Linked DNA regions of Mytilus edulis. The protein of the gene in region 1 purifies or fractionates together with the protein of each later gene. This does not show direct contact. Links are inferred from orthologs where the notes say so. Each region holds a gene or a part of one and is shown on either strand. Other genes may lie near its edges.

Region 1 (7,436 bases):
GTTTATATACTTGAAGATGTAACTAACTCCCCTTAAAAAAGGCACGTTTTTATACTTTATTACCAGATTTGAGAACTTCTAATTTGTCCCTAATTCAATATATGTGTCAGTGTTCCAGCTAGGATTTGAAAATAGAGGGGCGCGTTTTTAAAAAGGGCACTTTAGCGCGTTCTCACTGAAAAAAAAATCAAATACTTAATATTACCACATAAAGACATATTTCTTGATGCATGGTGGGTCTAAGATGAATTTGCAACGCGATGCGCTGCGTTGTTTTGTAGAATTATTTTTATTACACTTGTGAAATGAATTGTGCATGTCAGTTTAAAAACTTCACATAAATCTGCAATACAGTCAGGAACAATACTTAACATTTTCTCTGAAGGCCAGTCTGGATTCAAAAGTTTTTACAAGGGCCCTGTAGAATTTTTTTAGGCCTTTACCAGGTTTGTTTTTACTGCAGGCACATACATACTAATAGTCTTTAATGTTCTTATATAAAAGCCAAAAATATATGTTTGAAATACCTTATACATGTAGCTTGTTTCTTATTATGATGGAAATAATAAAGGAATTAAATAAACATGAGTTTTTCAGAATTAAAATCCATTTAACCATGTATTTTCAGACTGGTGAACTTTATATATATATATTTGTAATATTATTGAAAAAAAAACAAAAAAAAAACAGCCCCCCTTTCCATACCCCTAGATGTAAATTATTTTAATAAAAAAAGTATTATCAGTTTCACCCCAAGAAATTATTATAATTTTTCATGAATAAATCTTAGAAGAAATTCCTACTGTCTATAAATAACAATGAAATGTAACTGTTTCCTGTTAATAAGGGGTTTCCCGAATTTTCCCGCCAAAAAGCACATGGCTTTGAACAATTGTAAACAAAGCATTCAATTTGTGATCATGGATTAGTTTTAATTAATTTAATTTGGATATAGATATTCAACTAAAGGTACAGTCAAGCAATGTTTTTACTTTCTTCTGGATTAAAACTAGTTTGAAAGATCAGTTTCAAAAATAAAAACATCAAAACAAAAACGATCTGAATTGTGAATATTCAGTGACCCATAAATTTTTTGAACTCTGCTACGGAGGTCAAAGTTACATCATGTTTCATGCATTTTGCGTGTTGACCTATTGGAATGATTCTTTTTAAATGACATAATAAATAACAAATACAATAGAAATGAACACCGTTCACATTTATTTTATAAATTATATTTTGCATCGTTAGGTGTTAAAATAATCAATTTATTTAACTTCGATGTTTGGTGCTTCAGGGTAAAGGGATTAGACAGGGTCGTAAATTTCACCTGATTAAGTAATTGACTCTAATCAAATAGGTGATTATAATCAGTTTAACAAGTGTCAACAATTTTAATCTGTTGTCTTAATGAAGTGTGTGTATAAAGAACTCAACAAAATGGCGACGATATGAGGAAAAAAGATCGTTTTTTAAACTTTTTTTCAAAAGGGCACAGAGGGGCGCAGGGGCGCTTAAAAAAGGCAGAGGGGCGCAAAATTTCGGGGGCGGTGCGCGGCGCCCCTCCATTTCATGCTAGCTGGAACACTGTGTGTCATACACAGTCATAAAATTACCTTTTCAATATTAAGCCTGTGTTTATGTAACCTGTCCAAGTCCATTTCAATCACTTTAAGAAACTTCTGTATGGACGGTTCCAACCTTTGAATAGGAAACTTTGGGATCTCTGTATCTCTGCTTGTCCAGCTTGTGTTTTTCTCAAAACTTCCCATGTTGGTTATATTCATAAAACTGAAATAACATAACATGTTCTATGTAACATTTATATATATATATATATATATATATACAATGTTGGGTTGATGTTTAGACGAGTTATATATATACATATATATACATATAGTGTCTAAAAATAGCAACAATCAAGCTACAAAGATATTTTTTGTCATGCATACGATTTTTAACCTAGATAGATGCTCATGCCCGATGAAGCTAATTTGTTTAGCGAAATATTGCGTGAATAATATATAAAATATAACAAACTAATTTTATAACACTCATTAGTGTGTTAAAGTTACATTCTTAGACACTTATATATAATATAACACATGTTTTCAAAATAACATATATTGAGTAATTTTGTATTTTGTATTTCTCTTCAAAAGCAGAAAACATGACAATAATCATGATAATAAACTATTGTGGATTCAGTTATGTTCAGAATACTAATTTTATTTATTTAAAAAAAAATTTAGCAGGTTCATGGATACTTAGATTAATGATTTTGCACAAGTCTGCAATAAATGTGTACTTTGTTGAACATATATGTTTGTTGTAAACCTTGGCCACATTTATTGTATCAAAATGTCACATGCAGTCTGTGCCAAACTGTTTTAGGGATTGTCTGACCAAAAGAGAAATTTGAACTTTTCTACTTTATATTCAACTAAAAAATCTTAAAATTTCTGTCTGACCGAATGATTTTTTGTCTGACATTTTGTCGGTTAGACAGAGTTTTGGTTACACTGCACATGTGCATGCTTGTGAAGTATAAATTATTATGATTATATGGGTGCAAGACAAGCCAGTCAGGAGACAACTAAGACCATCTCCAACTAAGACAACTTGGACCATCTTCAACTAAGACAACTTAGACCGTCTCCAACTAAGACAACTTGGACCGTCTCCAACTAAGACAACTTGGACCGTCTCCAACTAAGACAACTAAGACCATCTCCAACTAAGACAACTTGGACCGTCTCCAACTAAGACAACTAAGACCATCTCCAACTAAGACAACTTGGACTTATATAGACAAGTCAGACCATCAATAAGTCTACTGGGGTTGTCTTTAATGACAAGTCAGACTCAGTATAAAACTACAGTTTTGCAAAATAAAAGATTTACTGAAAAAGTCTGTGCCTAGTGAGAAGTCTTTAACAAAGTTTTTAGTACTCCAATTTCAAAACAAAACTAAGACAACAATATATATAAAATTTAGCACTAAGTAAAACCTATATACGTGTACAAATGATGTACACTAAATCATGGTGTCATTCACATAAGATACATACATGTATGATTTGAGCACTAAGATTTATTTAAAATATAGATTCCTAATGTGAACATTGGTGAATGAAGAATTAGAAATAAGAATCTACACCAAAAGCATGAAAATGGTACAATGTACTTTGATGTAAAACATAACAAGTTTCAGGGTTCTCGCTAAGGATTTTTGAAGGCGAGTCTGTTTTTAGCCATTGATGAGTCCAACAGCAAAAAGAAAATGTTTTATTGCAATATAATGTAATATTTTAGTCTCTATTTCCTAACAGAGCAATGAAATGCCTGATTTTATTATAGCACAAACTCTTATGGTTATAGATACTTCATTGTAGAACTATTAGCTGTCATTTTTCAAGGTCAAAGATGACTTTAAAATAATTTATGAAGAATTCAAATATTAAAGTTAAGCAAACTCAACCGACTATTTTTTGCTTCAATTATAATATGTATGACAGTCAGGGATACAAGTTTTATTATACTGTATAAATACATGTAATAAATTAATAAAGATTAGTGAAATATTGTATTCACACATTACAATATTTGTTTTCCTGTTTTGCAAATACATGTACAGCAATGAGATTGCCATGTAAAATATCACATTTGATAATTTATAGTCGTTTATATGTATACAATACTATAATAGTGTAAATCCTCTTTTAACACAGGTCAAGTACTTTGTCTGAGCTGTCCTTATAGACGTTTCTGAGTTGACTGATTGACTGTTCAAGTTGTTTTCATAAACAGAGGATCTGATTGAACTCAGTCCAACTTGTTCTGGGGCCGAGTTGTCCCGCATTCATGATACATTTGTTTGTAATGATGTGTGTAAATGTCATGTCTTATTTTAATGTTGAGCATTTTCAGTGTAAAAAACTCAGTAGAGCTTGTGTCTTCTGTGAAATAGATATTTGTATAAAATGTATATGACTATGTTTGCAATAAATTGTATTTTGACATAATAATGAAACAGGATACAAAAAAAATTTGTATCCTGTTTCATTTTCATTATCATTTTGTTCTTTTTTACCATTTGAATCTTTTTTATATACAACCCTATTTCCCTTTTTCAAATTCAAATTTCTACTCATACAACTAAACCTTTTTCGAATCAATGACACCTCAATAGAGTAGAGTAATACTAGAGAAATAGAGTTGTTTTGGTAAAAACCTACTTTTCTTTTATAAAAAATGTAAACAGGAAGTGTCTTAATGATTATAATTTACAAAACAAAATCGAAAAAGATACGCCATGAATCCGGACAAAAATTGATGAAAATAATTTTGATTTTTATCGCAAACAAAACTTGAAGTATATATTCTGAACAATAAAGTCTACTCTATGATATAGAGCAGATATTAGCTTAACTGTCCAATTCCAATATCAAAATTAAATCTTTGAAGATTCAAGATGTCTTATAAATTATATAGCCTTATAAACAAAAATCAGCAATTATCATAAAAGCGGCCTTGCAACATCAAATATATGTAATTCTTTTGAAGAATGCAAATTTAAATCGTTATAAAAGTATACCTTCCGTTTAGTATTAGAATCGAATAAAACTACTGGGAAAGAAATATCCTCTTAGAATTAGAATCGAACAACATCTACTAAGAAAGAAATATCCGTGAAGTCAAATGATTAGAATCGAAAAACAACTACTAAGAAAGAAATCATACTATCCGTGAAGTATCAGATCAGAGACATATATAAATAGTATTATTTGTCTGGTATTAGATTCGAACAACAACTACTTGGGAAAGAAATCGCCAATTTAACAGAAGAAAAAAATGTATACTGAAAAGGCATACATTTTACGAATTTTTTTTAAAGATTATGCCAGTAACCGTACGTGTTGTATCTTATAGTTGTTAGATTGCATAAGCTTCCTTTATATACGTTTAAACATCGAACAACAATCATCTATTTCAGATGCAATTTGTGAAGGTGAACACGAACTACACTCTACATTTGTACATGAAAATGAAATAAAAATTAACTAATATAACTCTTTATGCATATCTGACATATTTGTACATGTAAATCGTATATTATGTTGTTCTTGTATTCTTTATTACAATCAGGTCGTTATAATTTTTTCGTTTACATTTTTATACAAGTGATATTTTGTAGTTATTTCATGGCCTTTTATAGCTTATTATACGGCATGGATTTTGCTCCGATTGTTGGAAGCTGACGATGACACATAGTTGCTAGCTTCAATCATGATCACATCTTTTTATTCATCAATTTTTCCTCTTCAAACTGTTGAATAATCTCATCTGGATCGCAACCTTTGACTCGCGAAGATGCAAATGGTATAACCCATATTACCTTGACCTCGAACTCGAACTTCTTTTGAATTATATTTTACTGTACGTATTACTGTGTTTGTTTATCCTACTGTGTATCAGATATTTCTGGCATCTGGTCGAAATAAGCTAAGAGATTCCAAACGACAATAGAATTTTAGTTGAATTTTTAAAAGTGCAATGGTAATTCTAAGGTCAACAGTTGAGCATAGGTAGCCGGATATAGCCGGATAAAGACATACATTTTTGTGTTATAATTGGAAGATATACGACAGTTTTATGGGGTATGCATTTCCGATTGCCTTGACTGCTATGCATAGAGCCGATGGCCGCGGAACATGTTGTAGTTTAATGTTATCGTGACATGATAATGCCGTTAAAACACCCTAAAACTCAAAACAAATTGATGTTAGGAATATTTTTTTCATATAGCACTAGCTGTCAAATTCATGTTCACCGATTTGAATCTAATTCTCATATTAGATTTATTTAAGAATTGAATGCTCTTTTTTTGTAAATGTATTGGGGTGTAAAACCGTTGACCGAAGTACATTTTGTATGAAGCGCGGAATTTAAGCGCTTCATACTAAAAATGTGCACACGGTCAACGCTTTTACAACCTTATTTATAAAGTTACCAAAAAAAAAGCATTCAATACTTATAATTACATTTTTACCTATAGGATCATGAAAACACGCCTTTTATCAAGTTTTTAATTCATTTACCTGTACACTTTATTGTGGGACCTCGTGTCATCATGAATGAAAAGTTGCATTGTGTAATGCAATTGATTAAGGAATATCACGAGATTGCTAGTTAGCCAATCAGAATAACGTATTATAATGAAACATACATCTAATGTAATTATAACAATGTACAACATTTATTCAAATTATAAACAATTTACAGGGCATGGGATCGATAATATGAATCTTCGTTTCGTGTGTATTTCAATTTAGTCTAGACGTCATCTAATTAACTATTGAGATATGACACCGAAAACAACCAATGGTCACATAACGACACAAACATAAACATAAATATAAATTGATATGTGGAACTCGTACACATGGATTTTGCTATGTCTGTTTGATTTCAATTTTAAGGGTACAAAAATAAGTTAATTTTCGATTTTACCTGAGTAAGAATGATTTTTTTTTTTGTGAATCGAATCAGTCAATTAAATGATTTACCGTTGTTTCACTATCATTGTCGACATGCTTTTCTTTTAATAACCTAACACGCATCAATCATACATAATCCATCTCTAGCTAAGGGGTAATTAAATTGAATTCACATGAATACGGATTCAATGAGGTTGAATTATTCACTGCATTACTCACCATCGATGTTTCTTCGCTTATTTTGAAAAAAATTGAACCCTACTTGCTGCTTACATAGTTAATTATTATTTCACTTTCATTAATGATTGAACAAAAAAAAAAATCAGATGTTTTTTTATGTATTTCGTAGCTAGTGCTCCTTTAATAGATATAGGAAGATGTGGTATGAGTGTCAACGAAACAACACTCCATGCAACTCACAATTCTATAAAACTATGGTTTTGTAAAAACACAGAGACAGTGAATGTTCACTCTGACATGTATAATCAGTTTAATGCCTACCAGCCGTAATAAATGTAAATGCTCTTTTGTTCCGACGTTGAAAAGTCCCGGGCGGAAAGAACTAACTAGCCGAAAAGTTCCGGAGGAATTTATTAACTAGTTACAATGTACTTTGTTCTTTCTCTGGTTTAAAAGTTCCACCGGAACAAAGTGAATAGTTGAAAGATCTTGAAAAGTTCCAACGGAACATATCAACTAGCTAGAAAGTTCCTTTTTGCCAAATTAGTCAAAACCGGAACTAACAAACTAGCCCAAAAGTTCCAACGGAACTTATCAACCAGTCACAAAGTTTCATTTGAAGAATTGATGGAAAGACCCACATGAGGAGGGGGTATTCTTCCCTCTCTTAAGCTTGAGGATACTATGAATACTGAATAATTTGCATGATGATGCAACTTATTCCGTTTATGTGAGCTATGAAATACAACTTAA
Region 2 (7,701 bases), on another chromosome or scaffold:
TCATGTGTTATTACAGATACTTTCATGTGTTGTGTACTCTTTATTCCTTAAATTTTCTAATTCTGTACATGTACAATGTAATAACGCATGTTTGTTACATTTTTTCTATTTGTTAAATATTTTAATTTATAATGGACTCTAGGGAACTCTTGAGACTGCGCAGAAACTAAATGCATAGCCTTGATAACTAATTTTTTAATTAAATATATACATTTTTGATTAACCATGTATGGTAAATCAATGAGACAAGGCTTTTAAGGGATAAACTAAGCTAGGATAACAAGGCTTAATTATTAAAGGAATGTACATTTTTTTGTTTGTACATGTAACATTTCATATGAGACCTTTGGGAATTACTGGGAAGATTGCTCAGAATCTCATTAAATGCTCTGATAATTATTTCTTACAATAAGTTAAAATAAATTGTAATTAAGCATGATGTATGTCTGAGCAAATGCTTTGAAGTGATATAGAGAAGCTGTGATAGCACCCGTTAGTTTTTACAGGCATATTTTTTCTGTAACATGTGTAATAACATCATGAACATACAATGTAGGTGTATTATGCAAATTTGGAAAACTATGAAGTGTTATATCTTTCTATAGTTAAGTATACATAAAGACGATAGTAATATCAATAGAACTTGTATACATTTTAATTAGAATAATGATGTATATTGTCCCTTTGAAACATGTAACATACATATATGTTATCACAGTTCTTTGATTTTTTAGTCCACAATAACAAATTTATGTTATTTTTCTGTAACAACTCTATAGAGTTATATCCTTAGTGTTGTACATGTACAACATGTATATAATGGTTTTTAAGCACTCATAGTTTGTGTACATCTACATGTACATGTAGTTGTATTAGATCTACACAATGTACTCAAGGTAAGGATCACAATAATCATATTGTACACAGTGGCGCATCCAGAGGGGGATTCCGGGGGTTGAAACCCCACCTTTTTTCTTGATGATCAATGCATTTAAACAGGGTCATATAGTTGGACCCCCCCCCTTTTTTTTATCCTGGGTTGGTTTAGAAAAAGGGCTGGATGCTGCCTGGTTCATTCTATCAGCATGATTAGTTTCCAAAAATAATGATACGACTTTTTAATAAAACATGTAAAAGTTGACAGTGATAACATAATTATAATATCAGAATATTTTATTCTTTTTCTAAAAATCACAGATGCACGTACCATGTTGAGTCTTTGTCGAATAAGGGTTGTCGTTGCTTCTTTCTGCTTGTTGCTCATAAGTTAAGATAGACGATACATGTATTTCTACAAAGACATAATACTGTCATGACTGTAAATTTAGAAATTATTGCGAGGTTTTTATCATTGCGAAAAACAGTCAGGGGACTTACTTAAATAAGTGATTTTCTAAATCACTGATTTAAGTTACATTATTTCCATAAAGGTTGGAAGTTAGAGTTGTCTTTCTTTAATAATCACCTATTTAAGTAGTACAAATTAATTACTAGAAGAAGTGATTTAATTTTATTGTAGCTTTAAATATAGAATACTAATGATCCAGGGACTAATTATGTTTCTAAACTTATCATAACCAACATCTGTGTTGTCTAAGGATGACCAGGTCATTTCAGGTGATGACCTTGTACTGAATCTAGGATAATGACATAAAAATCACTTGTTTAAGTATGACCTCAATTTCCTTCCCAAAAACATTTGAAAAATCACTTCTTAAAGTATCATTCTTTTAATAATCCCTACTAATTTCAACACCCCTGAACAGTGAGATTTTTATCACGAACAGTAGAATTTTATTACATAATCTGAAAGATGAAACATTGAACTTCACAGGAAAAATACTCCCACTGCTGGGAAAAATCTTTTAAGAAAGTATCAGTTTATTATGTAAAGCCATTATTATAGCATTTTTTCAACTAAAATAGAATTTTCAGCTAAATGATAGCATCAAAGGTAGAAACCTTTCTACTTAAAAGAAGCTAAAAGTTTATTTTTTTTAAATTTTACTAATTAAAAATTATTATTTAACCCTATGTGTTTAAAATTTGGAAAAAAATACAAAATTCCAATTTGTGACAAAACCACGATTTTGCTACTCAAATAAGTGATTTAAAAATCACCTATTTCAGTAAGTCCCCTGACTGAAAAAAGCCACAGAGTTATTAACGCAATAATTTAAAATATATAGAAATATTTTGTCCTAATTAAACAGAAGTTTTCTCAAAAGCGTAAAAAATAAAATCACATTTTAGTCTAAATGGAAAAAATCACAATAATAAATGCACACAATAATTTCTAAATTAACAGTAATGTATTTGATTGTCTTGAAGTTTGTTTTGGTTTTGAAATCAAACAAGCTGACCGAAGCCATAAACAACATGCTATAAAAAAATTCATCAAATTCTAATTCAACCATGATATATTGAAAATGAGTTAAACTGTATGTAATAACCAAGAAAATAGGATACAACATACAAAATGTATACACCTTATCGCTTATCCTGGCTGACTCGAGAATCTGTGCCGCTTGAACTATTGACGTCATACATACAACAATCACTTTTCCACTGTGGCGTCAGATATTATGTATTATGACTTCAAAATTTTACGAGAACCTGTGTGATGTCCACTAATGGCAGACAAATAGCGATAAGGTGTATTTTCTAAGAGGGGAAAATGTTGCAATTTAGTATATGAATATTGTGATATTTGCGGCCATGTCAGCCATTATGATGAAATACAAAATGTGTTATCTTACTTATTTTGGTTGATTGTTACACGATATCGGGTATAATGCCAATAAATGAGGATAGTACCCTTTAGGTGAGGATCTTCACCAACCTGTCAAAATGTGTCATGTGATTATTACTCATTCCCTCATTAGTTTCTTTCATTTACAAAAAACTTAGTTCTTAAAGAAGAACACTATCATATTTTTGCAATATCTATAAAATTTCAATATATTGTGTTACCCTATGTGCGTTTGAGGCAAATTTTGACAGAAATCTGACTGAAAATCTTTTTGTTTTGGTTAACCCACTTCCGGTTTATTCAAATTTTTAATTTACGAGGCCAAGTTCCGTTCATATTCCGGATTTTGAACCTCAGCATTAATTTCATAATATTTGCCTTTATTTTTCTATTTTTACATATTCTGACAGAAGTCATGTCTGGCAATCGTTTGATTAGAGTAAATCATAGATAACCACACACAATCAACCCAAAATATAATCAAACTTCTACCGAGCAAGCGGCAAGGATTTCACAGTAAACTGTAATTAAAGTACCACAGGCCGCAGAGCTCCGACATAACTTACGACTTTAGATTGTTATTCAAAATTTTTATGCATATCTCAGACTTTAATTCCAGTTCACTACCGTCAGACAAAGATTATATGAATCCGAATTTTCTCCACTGCATGGAGAAAACTGAGTATAAACCGGCTAACTACAGTGGCGGATCCAGAAATTTTCATAAGTGGGGGCCCACTGACTGACCTAAGAGGGGGCCCCGCTCCAGTCACGCTTCAGTGATTCCCTATATAAGCAACCAAATTTTTTCCCAAAAAGGGGGGCCCGGGCCCCCTGCCCCCCCTAAATCCGCCTCTGAACTAACTCATTTCATTCAGTGTAAAATTTAATTCAAAAAGATCATCGCTGAATTACATGACAGCACAGAAAAAAACCTAGTCCGAGATTACTCTGACGTCCAACGGCTATTTTGACAGACAAGCTGGGGCCGCAGCTTGTCTGGCAAAACAGCCGTTGGACGTCAGAGTAATCTCGGACTAAAACAAAAACCCACAAAACAACACATAAAGAGACAGCAATTGTGACACTTATAACACACAATAGACCGTTATCAATATATATTATGCACTAATTCCAACTGATGAATTTCTAATAAAAATAAATTTGTCTACATATAAAAGAAATCTGTTGACATGGTTGAGTACATTAGTCTTAACAATGTCATCATTAAACCTTTCCCTCTTCTCTTGATAAAGGTTACATTCACATATAAAATGAAACTCGTCTTCAAATTTGTTATTAAGACAATGTTTACATATCCTTTGATCCAAAGGCGTATTATTATATATATCTGCCTTTTTCGATCTGTAAATTGTTTGAATTCTTTATTTACATAACTGTCTAATATATATTTTTGAGATATTCAACTTTGTATAAGTCTTAGGCTTATATTCCTTTTTTAACTTGTTAGTAATAGGTGCGTAATTTGTTTTGGTTTTCACCTGAAAAACATTAAAATTTTGTTTTCGATATCTTCCTTGTAATCTCTATTTCACTGCAGATATGAGTTTTCCTTCTGACAGAGTTCTTTTATTGTTCCAGACATGGTCAAAACCAATGAATTTTAGAAACTGAAAAAATGTGTTTATTGAAGGTACATGGAAAGGTACAATCAACATCTTTGATTGACTTATATGCTAATTTAGAAAAATTCAAAAGAGGGTCTTTATACAAATATAGCCAATATTTAAGAGACAGCAGAATAACAAATACAGAGATTGGATAACGACCAAGTTCTGCCATACTGGCAATATTAGAAGCATATTTAGTGGCACCAAGTACAAATTTACAATATCGAATGTGATCCTTAAAGTTTTCAGGTGCAAAATTAAAAAAAAAGTTTTTTTCTAAATCATCATTTGAACCTGGTGATAATCTTTTTCCCGGATTAAGAATGTACAGACCCCACAATTCACTTCCATAAAAAGGACTGGTTTAAAAAGGAGTCAAAAAGTTTTAAGAGGAAAGGTGTATTATTATATGTACAATGACCTTTTATCATGAAAATTACCAGAAAAAGTAAAATCACAAAAATACTGAACTCAGAGGAAATCCAATCGGAAAGTCCATAATCACATGGCAAAATCAAATGACAAAACACATCAAAAACGAATGGACAAGAACTGTCATATTCCTGACTTGGTACAGGCAATTACAAATGTAGAAAATGGTGGATTAAAACTGGTTTTAAAGCTCTATAAACCTCTCACTTTGTTGACAGTCACATCAAATTCCGTTATATTTACAATAATGCGTGAACTAAACAGACATATATATATATAATAAATAAAATGGTCAAAATATGGGTACAGCAGTCATCATCGTGTAACAATATTAAAAGGAACAATTTATAAACAGAACACAAAAAACATCATTCTATCTACAAACAAACTCATTGATTCGCGTGTCTGACGTCAGAATTTGTTTTTCATCAAATTGGGAATCAGAATATTTTTTTAGGAAAAACAAGAATGTGTCCCAAGTACACGGATGCCCCACTCGCACTATCATTTTCTATGTTCAGTGGACCGTGAAATTGGGGTCAAAACTTTAATTTGGAATTAAAATTAGAAAGATCATATCATAGGGAACATGTGTACTAAGTTTCAAGTTGATTAGACTTCAACTTCTTCATAAACTACCTTGAACAAAAACTTTAACCTGAAGCGAACGGACGCACATACGGACGAACGGACGCACATACGGACGAACGGAGGCACAGACCAGAAAACATAATGCCCCTCTACTATCGGAGGTGGGGCATAAAAAGATACCCCTTTGAAGTTAAATGGTCATTCCCTTATAGCCCGCTGTTCGGTGTGATCCAATCATTCGTGTTGAAGACCGTACTTTGACCTATAATTATTTGTGACTTGGATGCAGAGTTGTCTCATTGGTACTCATACCATATCTTCTCTGTTATATATTAAATCCTTGTATTACCAGAGCTCCTAAATTAATTTAGTTTTACAAAACACCATTTCATGAAGTAATTGACTTGAAACATGATATATCTTAATAAAGACATACATTTATACATGTAGCAAATGAATGTAACAAGCAATAATTTTAGATGGCCATACACTGTTTTCTTAAATAAATGTAATACTTTTGAGTGAATTTGATTTTTGATTGTTATTATTGCATAATCTTCAAATACATGTACACAGCCTATCTGGAGCTCTGAAATTAATTTACAAGATATTTGAAAATGAATCCATGATCATGTCGACGTAGATATGTATATATGTGCCACACATAACAAAACAAAGTAGTTAATTAGCATGTGTATATTAACAGCTCACGCCAACGTGAATAATTTAAATTTCGTACCTTTACTCATATTTGGGCTTCCATTATAGCCCTTTAAACATTGCTTCGCATCTTGTATACTTCATGCTAATTGATGTCTATCAATTTCAACAGTTTTTAATTTGTTTCATTTAAAATCACTATTTCTTAGCAAAAATGTGGTATCTTTTATATCAAATCTTTTATTGTTTTTGAAACAATAATTAAAAAACCTATAAAAAACATAACTTTATTTTTTTCCCACTTGTGTAAAGAAATTTCTTATCAAAACTGATTTAATGTATTATATAAGTATTGAAATTGCTTATCAAACTGAAGTCACTCAAATTCTTAATGGTTACCAACTTCGTTTTTGGTCTATTTCAATTTTTGAGATAGAATACACATTATCGCTATTTAGTCCAATCCTGGAAAAACAGTCATTTACACAACTTCCTGTTTGGGTCATGCCGCCGAAAATAGGGGTCATTAGAAGAGAGCTGAGGGAGGAAAACTTTAGAAAGCGATCATCAAGAAATTAATAGAGTATGATCCACTTTTTTCGAAATTAAAATTAAAGTAAACAAGAATGTGTCCCCAGTACACGAATGCCCCGCTCGCACTATCATTTTCTATGTTCAGTGGACCGTGAAATTGGGGTAAACCCTCTAATTTGGCATTAAAATTAAAAAGATCATATCATAGGGAACATGTTTACTAAGTTTGAAGTCGATTGAATCGGATTGGACTTCGACTTCATCAAAAACTACCTTGACCAAAAACTTTAACCTGAAGCGGGAAAGACGGACGAACGAACGGACGGACGGACGGACGAACGAACAAACGGACGAACGAACGGACGCACAGACCAGAAAACATAATGCCCCTCTACTATCGTAGGTGGGGCATAAAAAATATTTTGTTTGAAGTATTTACGGTAGTTTTAACAGGTCTCATTAAAAAGTATCATGCTTGGTGAATTGCCGGTTTAAACAGGATCCTGAGAGGCCGAGTTCACTTGAAACTCTCGAGTTAACTTTACTTACTCGGGTTTCAACAAAACGATTTAAGTTGAACCACTCGAGTTAACACCTCGTACCCTGGTTCCAACCCTAACCGAGTCAGGGTTAAACTCGAGAAACTCTTGAATGACGTCAAACCAATGAGAATATTTTATTTTGTTATGCTTGGTCGGGGCCTTACCCTAGAGTGACTTAGAGTTGTTCCGAATATCAACTCTAATGCGTTCACGTGATAATCTTTTAACTCTGAATTCGATTGAAGAGTTTCAAGTGAACTCGGCCAGATAGCTTCAACTGGATGAAAAAGTTGTGTAATTTTAGAACTTATCCGGAATGGAATAAATAGCGATTAGGTGTATTGAGCAGGGTGGATTCAGGATCCGAGGAAAAGATAGGGACGTAAATGTCAAAAATGATAAACATCTATCCTCTTGTCTTGTATTACACTTCACTCAAACGTAATTTGATTGGTCATCCAATCAATTTCGACAATGAATAGATCTGATCTTATCGGTTGTCTATGAACAAAGTGCAGTAGAATAGTTAGCCGAGAACCAGTGGAAGCAAAGCTAAGAA

Evidence for each region. Proteins that work in one complex are often made in the same cells at the same time.
Region 2: the proteins of syntaxin-17-like (region 1) and vesicle-associated membrane protein 7-like purify together in Drosophila melanogaster (affinity purification with western blotting; 4 studies listed by BioGRID, with this or other methods). This does not show direct contact. The link is inferred for Mytilus edulis from reciprocal best matches to the Drosophila melanogaster genes Syx17 and Vamp7.

What each region holds. Positions count from the first base shown.
Region 1 is NC_092357.1:27,499,666-27,507,101, reverse strand, and holds the start of syntaxin-17-like, read right to left. Parts: upstream 3,388-7,436; 5' UTR 2,091-3,387; intron 1,812-2,090; 5' UTR 1,809-1,811; coding exon 1,617-1,808; intron 1-1,616.
Region 2 is NC_092351.1:17,222,120-17,229,820, forward strand, and holds the start of vesicle-associated membrane protein 7-like, read right to left. Parts: upstream 3,073-7,701; 5' UTR 3,013-3,072; exon of another isoform or gene 2,843-3,012; intron 1,292-2,842; exon of another isoform or gene 1,208-1,291; intron 1-1,207.